4 linked regions of the Danio rerio genome follow. The protein of the gene in region 4 purifies or fractionates together with the protein of the main gene of each other region. This does not show direct contact. Links are inferred from orthologs where the notes say so. Each region holds a gene or a part of one and is shown on either strand. Other genes may lie near its edges.

Evidence for each region.
Region 1: the proteins of wdr5 (region 4) and ruvbl2 purify together in Homo sapiens (affinity purification with mass spectrometry; 3 studies listed by BioGRID and IntAct, with this or other methods). This does not show direct contact. The link is inferred for Danio rerio from reciprocal best matches to the Homo sapiens genes WDR5 and RUVBL2.
Region 2: the proteins of wdr5 (region 4) and rerea purify together in Homo sapiens (affinity purification with mass spectrometry; 5 studies listed by BioGRID and IntAct, counting the BioPlex papers as one, with this or other methods). This does not show direct contact. The link is inferred for Danio rerio from reciprocal best matches to the Homo sapiens genes WDR5 and RERE.
Region 3: the proteins of wdr5 (region 4) and mgaa purify together in Homo sapiens (affinity purification with mass spectrometry; 5 studies listed by BioGRID and IntAct, counting the BioPlex papers as one, with this or other methods). This does not show direct contact. The link is inferred for Danio rerio from reciprocal best matches to the Homo sapiens genes WDR5 and MGA.

Annotation. Positions count from the first base shown.
Region 1 is NC_133180.1:31,383,088-31,386,719, forward strand, and holds part of ruvbl2 (ruvB-like 2), read left to right. Parts: intron 1-1,187; coding exon 1,188-1,306; intron 1,307-1,444; coding exon 1,445-1,564; intron 1,565-1,646; coding exon 1,647-1,776; intron 1,777-1,888; coding exon 1,889-2,003; exon of another isoform or gene 2,004-2,688; intron 2,689-3,632. UniProt on the Homo sapiens protein: Possesses single-stranded DNA-stimulated ATPase and ATP-dependent DNA helicase (5' to 3') activity; hexamerization is thought to be critical for ATP hydrolysis and adjacent subunits in the ring-like structure contribute to the ATPase activity.
Region 2 is NC_133198.1:25,758,147-25,761,778, reverse strand, and holds part of rerea (arginine-glutamic acid dipeptide repeats protein), read right to left. Parts: intron 3,144-3,632; 5' UTR 3,000-3,143; coding exon 2,678-2,999; intron 1-2,677. UniProt on the Homo sapiens protein: Plays a role as a transcriptional repressor during development. May play a role in the control of cell survival. Overexpression of RERE recruits BAX to the nucleus particularly to POD and triggers caspase-3 activation, leading to cell death.
Region 3 is NC_133192.1:11,779,105-11,781,906, reverse strand, and holds the end of mgaa (MAX dimerization protein MGA a), read right to left. Parts: intron 2,747-2,802; coding exon 1,896-2,746; 3' UTR 513-1,895; downstream 1-512. UniProt on the Homo sapiens protein: Functions as a dual-specificity transcription factor, regulating the expression of both MAX-network and T-box family target genes. Functions as a repressor or an activator.
Region 4 is NC_133196.1:19,684,606-19,688,237, reverse strand, and holds part of wdr5 (WD repeat-containing protein 5), read right to left. Parts: intron 581-3,632; coding exon 507-580; intron 257-506; coding exon 167-256; intron 7-166; coding exon 1-6.

The DNA of each region.
Region 1 (3,632 bases), on a different chromosome or scaffold from region 4:
AATAGCAGCATTCAACAAGACAACCACATGAATTAAAAATGATACATTTTTTGATAGATTAAAAAAACATAACTTCCCCAAAGGTACACCTTCTGAATTGTACAGTGGAACTGTGTCTTGATCGTGAGTAAAGAAATTGTTTCAGTACTATTATTTAGGGCTGCACAATATATCGTTTGAGCATAGATATCGTAATGTGAAAATTCGCAATCGTCACATAACGAGTATACGCAATGTTGGGTCTGGATTATAATTTATCATTATATTGAGGGTTTTAAAAAGCATTTGGACGTAAGAAATTGTACTGTTTTTAACTTTAAATTAAATGAATAGCGATAAATTCTATTGATTTGTTTATAAAAAGAAGACTATGCAGAATTATTTTACTTTTGACTATTCAATTACTGTATACCTGAATACATTTTGACTCCTCGAAAAACAATTAAATGCTGTTCTTATCTTTTTTTTATTGAATTGTTCTATGGTTATTTCTTATTTTATGCATGCACTCCCCTACAGATTCATCCCAATCAATCTAAAATTTCAAATTCTTTCCTAATAGTCCAGTGAAATTGTATTCAATCACACACTACTATATCGCAGAATAAAAAAATATTGCAATGTTAGATTTTATTGTCAATAAAATTATGGTCAACTGCTCGGATACCTTCAGTCAATATGTGGCTGAGTGATCACAATTTTACCACTGGAAAAATTAACCTACTCAGGACTTCTGGTGCATTTGGTCCTCCCTCTAGATTTTTCTTGAGGGCATTCAGTGACTATGTCTTTCTAAATTTAGTTTATAATTTCCTTTTATTTTTTTATTTTATTTGTATGCATTTTAATGTCTAACAAATTTTAATGTCTTTTATTTGTATGCATTTTAATGTCTAACAAAAACTGTCTGTCTGTACTTGTTACGAGATACAAGTACCACTGTTGTTCTGTTGAAAAATTTTATTAAAAAAATAAAATAAAAAAGCTTTACTTATGCTATAATGACACAAGAATTTAAACACTATGAATTTTTATTTTATTTTGTGTCACTGACAAGAAATGCTTCATGTGGGTTGTTTCTGTGTTTATGTTAATGCTTTCGAAATTAGTTAAAAGGAGCATTAATCAATAAATATGATTTATGGCTGCTTTAAAACTGCCTTTGTTGAGCATTTTTGTGCTTGCAGGTTCTTTTCATAGACGAGGTCCACATGCTGGACATAGAATGCTTTTCATTCCTGAACCGAGCCCTAGAGAGTGATCTTTCTCCTGTACTCATCATGGCTACCAACAGAGGCATCACTCGGTATAACACAAAAACAACAACAACTGCCAGATGATAATAATATGGGTTATATATTAGTATATAGTAGTCAATAATAATATAGTCGATGATAATAAAGTGGGTCATTTGTCCTCATCCACTGTCGTTTCCTTTTAACAGAATTAGAGGCACCAATTACCAGAGTCCTCATGGTATTCCCATAGACATGCTGGACCGTCTGCTTATCATCGCTACTACTCCTTACACAGAGAAAGAGACCAGACAGATCCTAAAGATTCGGTGAGAGTACGTTCATGTATCATATCAAATCTGTGAATTTCGAGTTTTGCCTCATTTCTTGCTATACACACCTGTGCTTTAGCTGTGAGGAGGAGGATGTTGAGCTCAGTGAAGAGGCACATACAGTTTTAACACGTATCGGACAGGAGACTTCACTCCGCTACGCCATCCAGCTCATCAGTACTGCAGGCCTGGTGTGCCGTAAACGCAGGGTAATGTCAACACACACACATGCACATTATGGTTGTGCTACAAAAAATAATAATACTGGAAACAAGCGTTTTTTTTGTGTGTGTTCTGATTGTGATCGTACATTTCTCACAGGGCACAGAAGTCCAAGTGGAGGACATTAAAAGGGTTTATTCTCTCTTCCTGGATGAGGCCAGGTCCTCACAGTACATGAAAGAGTATCAGGACTCCTTCCTCTTCAATGAAACACGTAAGATTCTTCTCTACTTTACATAACCTAGATTTCTGGAGATCTTGCAGCAAAGAGCTATCTTTACAAAAACTGTTCTCTCCAGCAAGCACATGCTTTAGTGCTATTTTGACGCTGTACCAAAAGTGTTACAATTTGATTGGTAAATCATTTCTATAAGAGTTTTTGTATACTGTCTGTATACTGTTTGTGGTAGTTATGGCATTCTACTACTGAGCTTACTTTCTTTTGGAGCTGTTTTTATTTGTGGAGCCTCAAAAACTCTTAGTGACAATTTACATTTATGTTCTTAACCCGATTATAATTAATAAGCAGACCACATATGTGATCAATGATTAAATATGTTAACTTGTTTTTCTTTACTGGCGTAAGATCTTAACAATTGACTTAAGAATAAATCTATTCATGCAACTAGATTGATGCCATAAGGCATGTAAGCACCATGAACTGCATTAGCGCAATGAAGTGCGCATGTGTAATATATGACAGGAAAGGGGCAGATCTATGTGCATTCAAACAGCGCAAGTGTTTTGCAGGAGTGGGGAAAATATTTTTAATAAATTAAAAAGCAGTTTACATATGTTGTCATTAATCTGAGCCTTAAATGTAAATCTTGCCAAAGGGAAAAAAATATTGGATGCAATCTACATTAGGCTACCCTACTTATTGTTAGGCTATTAAAGGGGTGGTCCACTACGATATTATATTTTAAACTTCAGTTGATGTGTAATGTAGCTGTGTGAACATAAACAGCATCTCTGAATGTAAAATATTCAAAGTTTAATGCAAAGGGAGACCTTGATTTGTACAGAGTTAGCTTAGCAACGCCTACAATTAACGAATTTTGGGGACTACAAAAAATACTTCCGCCCCCTGTGAGATCACAAAAGTTCGTTATTGCGCATCCCACACTGCGCAGGTAAAGGCCGTGGCCAGAGGCGCTGTAACGTTACTGCAGAGAGAGAAATGCCATCCTGCTGTTTCCACAGAGCTGTTCTGTTTCTGTTGTTGGGCTTCCAAATGACACGACCCAAACACAGAAGTGCTTACAGTTCAATATTAATTATGTTCCAGAGAACTATAAAATACATAGCAAGCATGATTTGACAAAACACAGCTTCCAGAATCTCTCCCAGTTCAGTGCTGGATTCAGTTAAAATCTCCTCAAAGATGGAGCAAGGAGACGCTGTGAACTCTGAGTCATGACCTGTAAGTGTTTTTATTTGTTAAAATTGATCATGACATGTACAGTGTCTAACTTTAACGGTGTGTTGTAGCAAAGATGTAAACAACGGGAAATTATGGTAACCGCTAACGACTTAGCTAACGTTACAAATCCATATTTATCAAACGGCTGTAAACGCACACACACACATACACATACACGCACTCTTGGCCAGCACCTGCGTCTATCTGTGGGAGACGGCAGAGTTTCTCTCTATAGGCAGCTTTGCTATGCGTTTTACAACTCGGACAATAAAGTCGCAAAAGATATGTGAACGATTCATGTTACTTACACAGGCATATTCCCCATATGCATGAAAGACGTCCTGTAACGCATTGATTTAAAAAAAATACAGCAATGATTTCCCAACTGGAGTGTAACATCAAAAACAAATCAATCCAGGC
Region 2 (3,632 bases), on a different chromosome or scaffold from region 4:
ATTTGAAAGCTTGCATGAACACCGGCACTTGACACATGCACGCTACAACGATTTATTCTTGCCTTTTGTCTGTGCATTTTTAAAATGAGCAATAAAGATGCTTTTAAATTAATTTAAATGGGGTTAAATCCTTTCACGCTAGCGCTCATCAATGCTGATACCTTTTGTTTTTACAGTGGTTAGACTGTTGTCTAGTGGTTGTTGAAGGGCTGCATGATATTGAAAAAATCTAACATTTAGGTTTTTTTATTCTGCGATATATATTTCGATATTAATACAATTTCACTAGATGAGTTGGATAACTATTTAAAAAAAATTCATCATTTTAGACAGATTGGAATGACAAGCGTAGATAAATTCGAAAAAAAAAAAGATAAAAATGATATAAACAGCATTTTATTGTTTTACGATGAGTCTATCTGAATTCAGAAGTATAATTAAATAATCAAATGTAAAATAATACTGCAGAGTCTATGTTTGAAAAATTAATAACAACTGAATTATCTAAATTACAAAGGGTACAATTTCTTAGCCCTGAATGCTTTTAAAACCCACAGTCACAGGCCCCAAAAAACATTTGTGAAATGATGTTTATAATCCAGACTCAACACTGTGTATCCTCGTGATGTGACTATTGCGAATGATCACATAGCAATATCGATGCAGAAACAATATATTGTACAGCCCTAGTTTGTTGATCTATCACCCTTATTTTTCTGTAAAACAACAGATCGGCTTAGAATTGACACCTCGAGGGTAAACCAAGTAGTACAAAACAGTTAACTGTATGTGCTAATATATGGGGTGTAATAAAACAGAATGTGCATTGCTAATGTAAACAATATGATTCGAGATATTGAGCTAATTTTACCCAAGAGTCAGCTTACTGTATTTAATGATATCCAAATTCAACCAAAAATGTACATTTCATCATGCACTGCATTGACTAATGATGACTTATGACTGAAATCACATATAAGCTGAAGCACTTGGGTTTGTTGGATGGTCAAGCCTAACTCAGGGAGCATGCTCAGAACCGTTTGCCTAGGTTGTGAATAACAGATAATAGAGTTGTAAATAATGTTCAGTTTGTTGCACAGAATGATCGTTTTGCTTCATAAGACCTTAGTGCATCCTCTAATGCCAAACAGGTAGTAATTATGATTTGCCAAATATGTGTTTTTGTGGCACTCAGCAAATTGAAAGTGTGTGGATCATTTAAATTACCATATAGCATTTTAGATGTATGATAACTCCACGGATTTTAGATGATGTACTCTTTCATAGCTAACACTGAGAGAGTTGTACGTGCTGCTTTCTGTAGATTTGGTGAACGCCTGTATTGACAGCATGTGTGTGTGTTCTGAGTGAGAACAAATGTTTACAGAGTGTCAGCATCAGTATAAGTACTGTAGACTATATAACGTTGAAAATGATGCAACAGGGAATCTGATAATGACAAATGTCTGACTTTACCAGTGAAAATGGTCTATCTATATATAGTCAATGACAGAATACAAGCATATTAGAGGTGTGGCGAGATCTCGCGTTACAAGATCTTGTGAGATTAAATAGTGACAAGAATTCTCGTTGAGGTGAAAAGTTGTCTCGTGAGTTGACAATAGCATGTCATTGACTGCATGGAACTCATTAAAATAGAAGTAAAATACATTTTATTACACGTTTATTTAAAAAACACCTAAAAAGTTTTTGTATTTTGTGATTTTTTTATTCAGTTGAATTATACATTATATTTACCATTCATATATTTCATTGAGGATTTCTTAAAAATAGTATAAAAATCTTGTTCTCGTGAACCAATCTTGAGTCTCATCTTGTGGAATAAGCGACTTGTCACACCCCTAAACCATATGTGTCTTGCATAATTAAGAATTAACCTTCAGACTTATGAATAGTTGTACTGTGATGTCATCAGTCTTGCGCAATGAGGACCAGGATCAATTTACAATCTATTCCAGACCATCACCCCAAGTCTAAACAAAATATAGCATTTTAACCAACAGCAGACTTACATGATATGTATTTTTTATACCATGTCACCATATGCAAATTACACTTTTAACATGCATTTTCAAGATGTCATATTATGAGTTCGAGATGTGTGTCAAATTACAACTTCGTTACACCCCTAGAATGTACAGCTAAAAAAATGTGTGTATAAAGGTTTTGTTCATTTTGTTTCTACAAGCACAGTACTGGAGTTACTAAACTAATGTCTACTTGTTTCATGTTCTCGTCAAATCTGCCACACATTGTCATATGCACCTCAAAAACAAGCACAACAGAGACGTCAACACTTAATCGACCATCAATAGTATACTGATTTAAAGGATAATGATCAATTAATCAATCATCAATTTAACAGTAGCATACCCAACATATTCTATAGGGTCCATACACTGTGAAAAGTGTTTAGTTTACTGTGAAAAAAGTGAGTAAGCTCAGCATACTTAGCATTACGTTCATTTACTTAATGCTAAGGTGATATGTACGTAATTCTCAAACCATTAAGTTAAATACAACATAATTACCAACATTAAGTAAAATCAACTTGCCACTTTTGAAGCAAGGGATTTTTTAATCATTTTTTATAGTGTATTAAAGTAAACTTTGATATCCAGACATACTAAATAAAGATTATACAAGCATAACTCACCACCAGGTCTGTAAACAATGTCGTCCTCCGTAATGAAGGAAGTGATCTCGCCGTTCTCCGTCCGCTCATAGCGTGACTTCTTCTTGGGCAGCTTCTTCTTGCTCTTTTTAGTGGCCTCCTCGGCGGTGGCGGCCCCGGGTGTCTCGTTGTCATCATCCTCACTGTGTTCGCTTTCTGCATAGTTCTTAGCGCCGCCTTCCAGCGTGCAACTGCGCCTGGGCCGTGAGCTCTCACTTTCCCGTGTTTTGTCCCGCTTCTCACGGTCTCTGTCCCGGTCCCGGTCGCGCTCCCTCTCTTTGTCTTTCTCTTTGTCGGCAGTCATGATTCGCCACGTGCCTTCTTCTGTCCTCTCACGGCTGGGCCTCCGTGAAAGGTAGACTGTGAGCCTGGGCTTCAGTCTTCTGAATTTACCAATCAAATCCAGGGAAAATTTGGCCACACCAACAACCCCAGTGTTTCAGAAGAGCTAAAGGGAGAACAGAAAATAATGGCATTTTAGATGGGTCAATGACGTGACCTATTCATTAACAGAGATTAGTTTCACCTTCCCTGACACAGTAAGACATATATGTATCTTTCTATGTATCTATCTATGAATCCATCTATCTAACCATAATTTTTACCTTTTTAAATGGAGTTTAACTTGAAACTAAATGAATATATGGCAATACCCCAAAAATGTAAAAATAATAATAATAATAATAATAATAATAATAATAATAAAATACCACAATATTTTTTCCACATAATCTTTGTGATGTTGGTTTTACTTTTTTGCAAGTATACTGAGCAGTACAGCCAAACTGATTACCTTTTTTTAAAAATAAAAACAAATGCAGTGGGCATAGATGAAAAACCCTGTCAATTTGTTTGATAAAGATAAAACAGAACAAATATTAACATTACAAATACAAAACATGTCATTTTTCAGGTAGAGTAAGTGTACTTAGTTTTA
Region 3 (2,802 bases), on a different chromosome or scaffold from region 4:
ACTGCCGACATGTCTTCGGCTCGGTCTATATCATTTGTAAATTTAAAAAAAGGTAAAGTTAGATATCTACCTCTTGTAAATAATTCATCATTTTGGTTTCGATGAAGTCAACAGAGTTTCAGGATCATTTAACATAAAGCCAATGATGCAATAAACAATAGACGTACCTTACCTTGAGAAATCTGAAAGAGGTTTGGGTACACCTGATTGTCGACTGCTTTATATCAACTCTGATTCTTCTTGGAAGTACATACGTATTCTCTTTGGGGAGTTGGTTGCAAGGTAATGACCATCAGTTGATAATTAGCCATTTGTGAAATTCTCTGATGTCTGTATCCGATTTAAAATGACTTCTGAATCTTTAAGGTATTTATTAATGTCTGAACTATTTGTAAAGCTATCCTAAAAGTAACATATACCCAAGTACAATGTAGAGATATGCTTTTTATTTAAGATTAAAACCATTTGTAACCTAAAAAACAGAAGCATTAATGTAGATGCGAGAAAAACTATATTTTCACAGACTTTATTGACATATCCATTGCTTTTACAAAGGTGAGAGAGCACTGATTAATAGCATATAAAAATAAGTATTTTAACAGACAGTTTTCAGACTAACAAAAGGAATAATTTTACATATTTACAACATTCAAGAAGAGTTCCCTTGCCAATATACAGGGTTTTACCAAGCTAACTTATTTACAAAATATAACAGTTTAGCATTAAATATGCAGGAAAGACCATAGCATCTTGTTTTAATGAAATTATGCAGTGTTGTTTTCGATATCTGTCTTGTCTGAATCTAAAGCAAAACAGTTGCATAGTGAGAACTTTATATATATATTCAAGCTTAAAATGAGGAATCTAACCGTCTCGCTGGTAGTGTTACACTTAAATGTTAAAACCCTTTGAAACGTGTAATTTATTCTAAAGAGGAGAAGGGTGAAGCAAGAACAGGTTTTCACATCTAAAACGTTCAAATGCCAGAAACACTCAAACCTTCCTGATTTCTTTTTAAAGCAAACAAAAAGACAAAATAATTAAAACAGCAGTAGTAACACCTCAAAAACCGCAGCAAATACTAAAGCTGATATAAAGTTTTTCTTGTATTCCTATGTTCTCATTACTATTCCTGGTATACTAATACAATAAAACCTTTCTATGGTCCAATATGCATACAGAAGAACCTTTTGAAAGGCACTCAACATAAAATATAAACTTTTAATGTATATACCCAACTTCTGAAAGAATAGTATGTTGTTCCAGAAAGGTTTAACAGGTATTATTGCCTTAACATGCATTCAATGGGCTTAACAGACAGTGATGTTTTAGCTAGATGTAAAGACAATGGCATTTGAGTAATCTCATTAGCAGATAAAGTCACGGGTGAAACCACTTTACTAATAAAAGTCACTGGGTAAATTTAATTATTCCTAAAAAGGTCACCCGGAAAAAACGCCCTCCTACTCCAGCGGAAACAACTGTTATCCGTTCACCTTGATGGCGCTAAGGGAGTAACAATCTTATGTTTAAAGATCAAGTAACTTTTTATTTTTAATGAGCTCCAGTGGGAAATAAACAACAAGCTCCAATATGGAGGGTAGAATGAGTTAACGGCTTCTTTCGACTATCGCCACAAAGAGTGGATATACAAGAGGACAATTCAATTGACGTCTTGCCGGTCAAGTATGTTGAGAATAAACAAAAAAATAACGCCAAAATTATAAAGTAAAACTGACTAAACGTCTTTGGATATCCCAGAGGCACAATATGTGGTGCCCATGGCAGCACGTCTTACACAGCAAACAAAAAAAATAAATACATATAAAAACACATCCTATTTTGTACATTAAACAACATGAGCAGCAGCTGTACCTGATTCAATGATTGGTAGATCACATTTGTGGTGTATCTTGCTCACTTGAGTCCAGATTGGGGATTGAGGGATTGATTACCTTACCAGCATCTTGAGCCTTCAACCCTAGAGGAACCAGTTTAGGCATAGGCCGCCATGTCACACTGGTTCCCTCATTGGCAGATTGGCCTGATGCAGCTTCATATGCAGCTTTCATGTGCAACAGAGGTGGGGGAGTAAGTCCATCACCTGTAGCATTGCATGTTGATGCATGTGGGCTTGAAGCATTTGTTGACTGTGCAACCCCGGATTCAGATGAAACCGAAGGGGAATCTGACCCAAAGATAACTTTGACCAGGTCATCCACTTTGGGTGGGATATCGATTTCATCTTTAGAGTCTGGGGACATCAGATCTTCATCTAGAGTTAAGAACAAAGGACTTAGAGCTCGGTCGTCTGCCGGTTCTTGATCTTCCGGTTTGTCAGAACAAGACTGTACATCACCTGGCACGGCAATTCTCTCATCTTCATCCTCATTAGTCAACTGTTGGCTAAGAAGAACAAGTTCATCCAGCAAAGACAGTAAATTTTCATCCTCAGGATCATCGCTGTCATCGGGACTCTTATTCTCCGGCACTTCTGGGTTGGACTTGGGTACAGATGCACCTTTCTGATCTTCTACGACTGATTGTTTGGGTACATTCGTGGATGGAGCCTCATCAGTCTTTTGCTCCAAATCTGGAATTTTGTCATTGGAAGAATTCTGCTGATTGTCCACAGATGTTGGCTGTGCTTGGAAAACAGGTTTATCTTCCACAACTTTCCGTGGTACTACTAGATTCTCCGCCAGAGAAATAACATTGCTGATATTTGGAAGGCTTGCAGAATCCACTGAAAATTACAATCATTTAAAAATAAATACATCTCATCAAAATGAACATCTCTGA
Region 4 (3,632 bases):
CTTCCCCTGGTGATGACAAAAACAAAAACTGATGATAAAATTATACTGACCTACGAGAAAATAACTCTAACAGAATGCAAATAGCATCAGTATGCTCACTCTGCTTGCTTTCATCAGTTTAGGTTTTACATTTTTCTTTCGAATGTTCAGTTTTGCCTTAACTTACAGAGCTCACATCCCAGATCTTCAAAGTCTTGTCATCAGAAGCTGAGACCAGGAGGTTGGAGTCTGAAGACCAGGCTACATCTGAGATGCCCTGCAGGAGAAAGAAATCCAGTTCACAACAGCAATCTGGTACAGTAAAACATTACAGAGAAGCCAGATCTTTTGGGGAACTCAACTTTATTTATAGAACACTTTCAACACTATAACTGAATCCAAAGTGCTGTACAGACAAAGTTCAACTGAAAATAAAATAAGGCTAACAACTAAAAGCAAATGAAGATAACACTATAGAAGTGAAACAATGATGACAGAAATACCAACAAAACATACAAGGAACTCACAAGTTTGTGTCCAGATATCGTCTTCTCAAACTTGCCATCATATGCACCCCATATTTTGATCAGCTTATCAGCAGCTGGACGAGAGAGAGAAAAAAAAAATTACATCATGACTTTGTGTTGTTCACAAGACACTAGGACTTCCTTGAGGGTAGTTCAAGTGTAATAATTAATTAAATAAACGTTTAAAGCTGCAATCAAAATAAAAATAAAATTTTAAAATGACTTGGTCTGATTATCCCACTGAAAAAGATTGCAATGCTGTAACATTCTGTGTATTCTCTGAAAAGCTGTGTGCTTATAGTCTGAGATGATATCAGGGTGAATGACTCATAAGTGCATTCAGCTCTCACGGTCGAATATGCATCGACAATGCAGCAACAGAGGCATGAAGGCACCATCCATTTAAACTTTCAGTTTCTGCAGTGAATTAATGGGAGTGGTGCAAATCTTCATAGTTTAGAACTGAAATATTGCAATGAGTATGTTTAATAACAATTGCAAAACGACAGACATTAATTCACATAGAAGCAAGTAAAATACGCAGGTAAAATGTACATAAATAAAAAAATAAAAAGCAACTAGCATTAAGTTAACTAAACCCAGTATACAATAATATTGTATACTGGAAATCTCACAGACTGATGAAAGGACAATTTGACTTTGAAAACAATGTTTTATTTGACTTTTTAGACTTAAAAGTCTTAAATAACAGATGTATAAAAATGTGACACTTTTCATTTTCTGTTTTGAAGCCCAATACTGTGATTTAAAAAAAAATCAGTTGAAAAAAAAAAAAAAAAAAGATTGCATTATATGTAATCAATAAAAACGTATGCGTGTACTTACACTAACTGGCCACTTTATTAGGTACACCTTACTAGTACCGGGTTGGACCCCCCTTTTGCCTGTAGAACAGCCTTAATCCTTCACGGCATAGATTCAACAAGGTAATGGAAATATCCCTCTGAGATTTCAGTCCATAATGACATGATGGCATCGTGCAGTTGCTGCAGATTTGTTTGCTGCATATCCATGATGCGAATCTCCCGTTCCACCACATCCCAAAAGTGCTTCATTGGATTAAGTTCTGGTGACTGTGGAGGCCATTTAAGTGCAGTGAACTCATTGTCATGTTCAAGAAATCGGTTTTAGATATTTTTTGGCTTTATGACATGGCGCGTTATCCTGATGGAAGTAGCCACCAGAAGATGGGTACACTGTGGTCATAAATGGATGGACATGGTCAGTAACAGTACTCAGGTAGGATGTGGCAGACACAATACTCAATTGGATACTAATGGACCCAAAGTGTGCAAAGAAAAAAATCCCTCAAATCGATACACTACCACCACCAGCCTGATCCATTGATACAAGACAGGATGGATCCATGCTTTTGTGTTGTTTACGCCAAATTCTGACCCTACCATCTGAGGCCCCGTTTACACTAGTGCGTTTTAGTTTTAAAACGGCGTTGTAGAATGAAAACGATCCGCGTCCACACTCGCGTTTTACCCAGCGTTTCTGAACAGCTCTCCGTCCACACCAAAACGTTGAAAACGCACATCACGTGATCACACAGACACTCTCGGGCAAGCGCTCCAGCATTTCTACCCAGATGAGAGCTCTGCTTGTCGGACTGCTCATCAAGCATCTCCCGCTGGATCTAATCCCACTATATTTGCTAAACGTGATATTTCATTCATGTTGTTGTCTTTATCTAACGACATAGGCCAATTCCCTGACTTTGGTCATTGGAATCTATTAAGTTACTTGTTCACGGGTAACATGTTTTGGTTAAGCGCAAAGATAAGTTAATGATTAATCCAGGTACATTGACTGATCGCTTGCCTTTATTTCCTACAATGTATAAACTTATTGTATGTTATACTTTTATAATTATCAATTATTAAAACTGATATTCAGCAAAAGAGAGGGTGCGTTTCGTATTTTCACTGAAATTGAAAGGAGGCAGTTGTTATAGGCTCCGTTTTGTTATAAATATCCACACAGTGAAGATGACGCCCATATATGCAGCACGGCGCCTCAACATTTCTGCTGTCAGTTAAGTTGCTAATATTAAAAAGAAAATAGGCAGTTCCTTAAATAATGATTACATTTTATTGTTGAGAAAGTGAAACAACGTAGCCAAGGTGATGTGAATAAAGTTATAAAGTACACTGTTCCCTTTGAAGATTTACCCGTGTCCTCGGTATGTTTTCCATATCAAACTGAAAAGGGGGAGACTGCAGCCTTGATCAAACTTGCGAAGTCTTAACTTACAAGAAGAGGATGCGAGACTGAACTGTGCGTGGGCTACTTAATATTGAGGAAAAGCCCCAATCAGATAGGCGAACGTTTGCAGCCCCGCCTCCGTTTTCAGATGTCTCCGTCTTTACCCATCCACACTGAGACGGAGCAGCAGCGTTTTAGAATGAAAACGGCCTTTCCAGCTTTTTCAAAAAGCTCCGTTTTCGGCGCTCGAGAACTCTGGCGTAGTGTGGAGGGATGGCGTAACCGTAGCAAAACTTTTGCGTTTTCAAACTAAAACGCATTAGTGTAAACGGGGCCTGCATGTTGCAGCAGAAATAGAGATTTGTCAGAGCAGGCAACGATTTTCTAATCTTCTATTATCAAATTTTGGTGAGCTTGTGCCAATTGTTGCCTAAGTTTTCTAGTTCTTGGCTGACAGGAGTGATAGAGCTGTAATCGGGCCATAAAAGTTAGGCCCGATAGAGCCTGAGCCTGACTGAATTCGACCCGAGCCTAAGAGGTACATTTTGATTGACAGCTTTTTAAAAGCTCAAACTTGTTTATAGCCCTACATTATTCACGTGCACATGCACAAAGCTCTTTTGGCTTTTTTCATGAATGTGTCTTTTATATGCGTTTTAACCTAATTTATTCATAACAAACGTAGGCTGTAAGACACTTAGAAATTGGAATGCAAAGCCGGGATGCAAAGTACTACTGATCTGGCAAATTTAGCATGTTTTGGGTAGGATTGTTTGTTCATCTTTCACCAAGCCAAGAACATCAATTACATTTTTCTATGACATCGGTTTCAATGTAGAGAGTGACCTCGTCATCTTCCCTGTTACCGTAATACACAGTGTATGAGCGACTGCT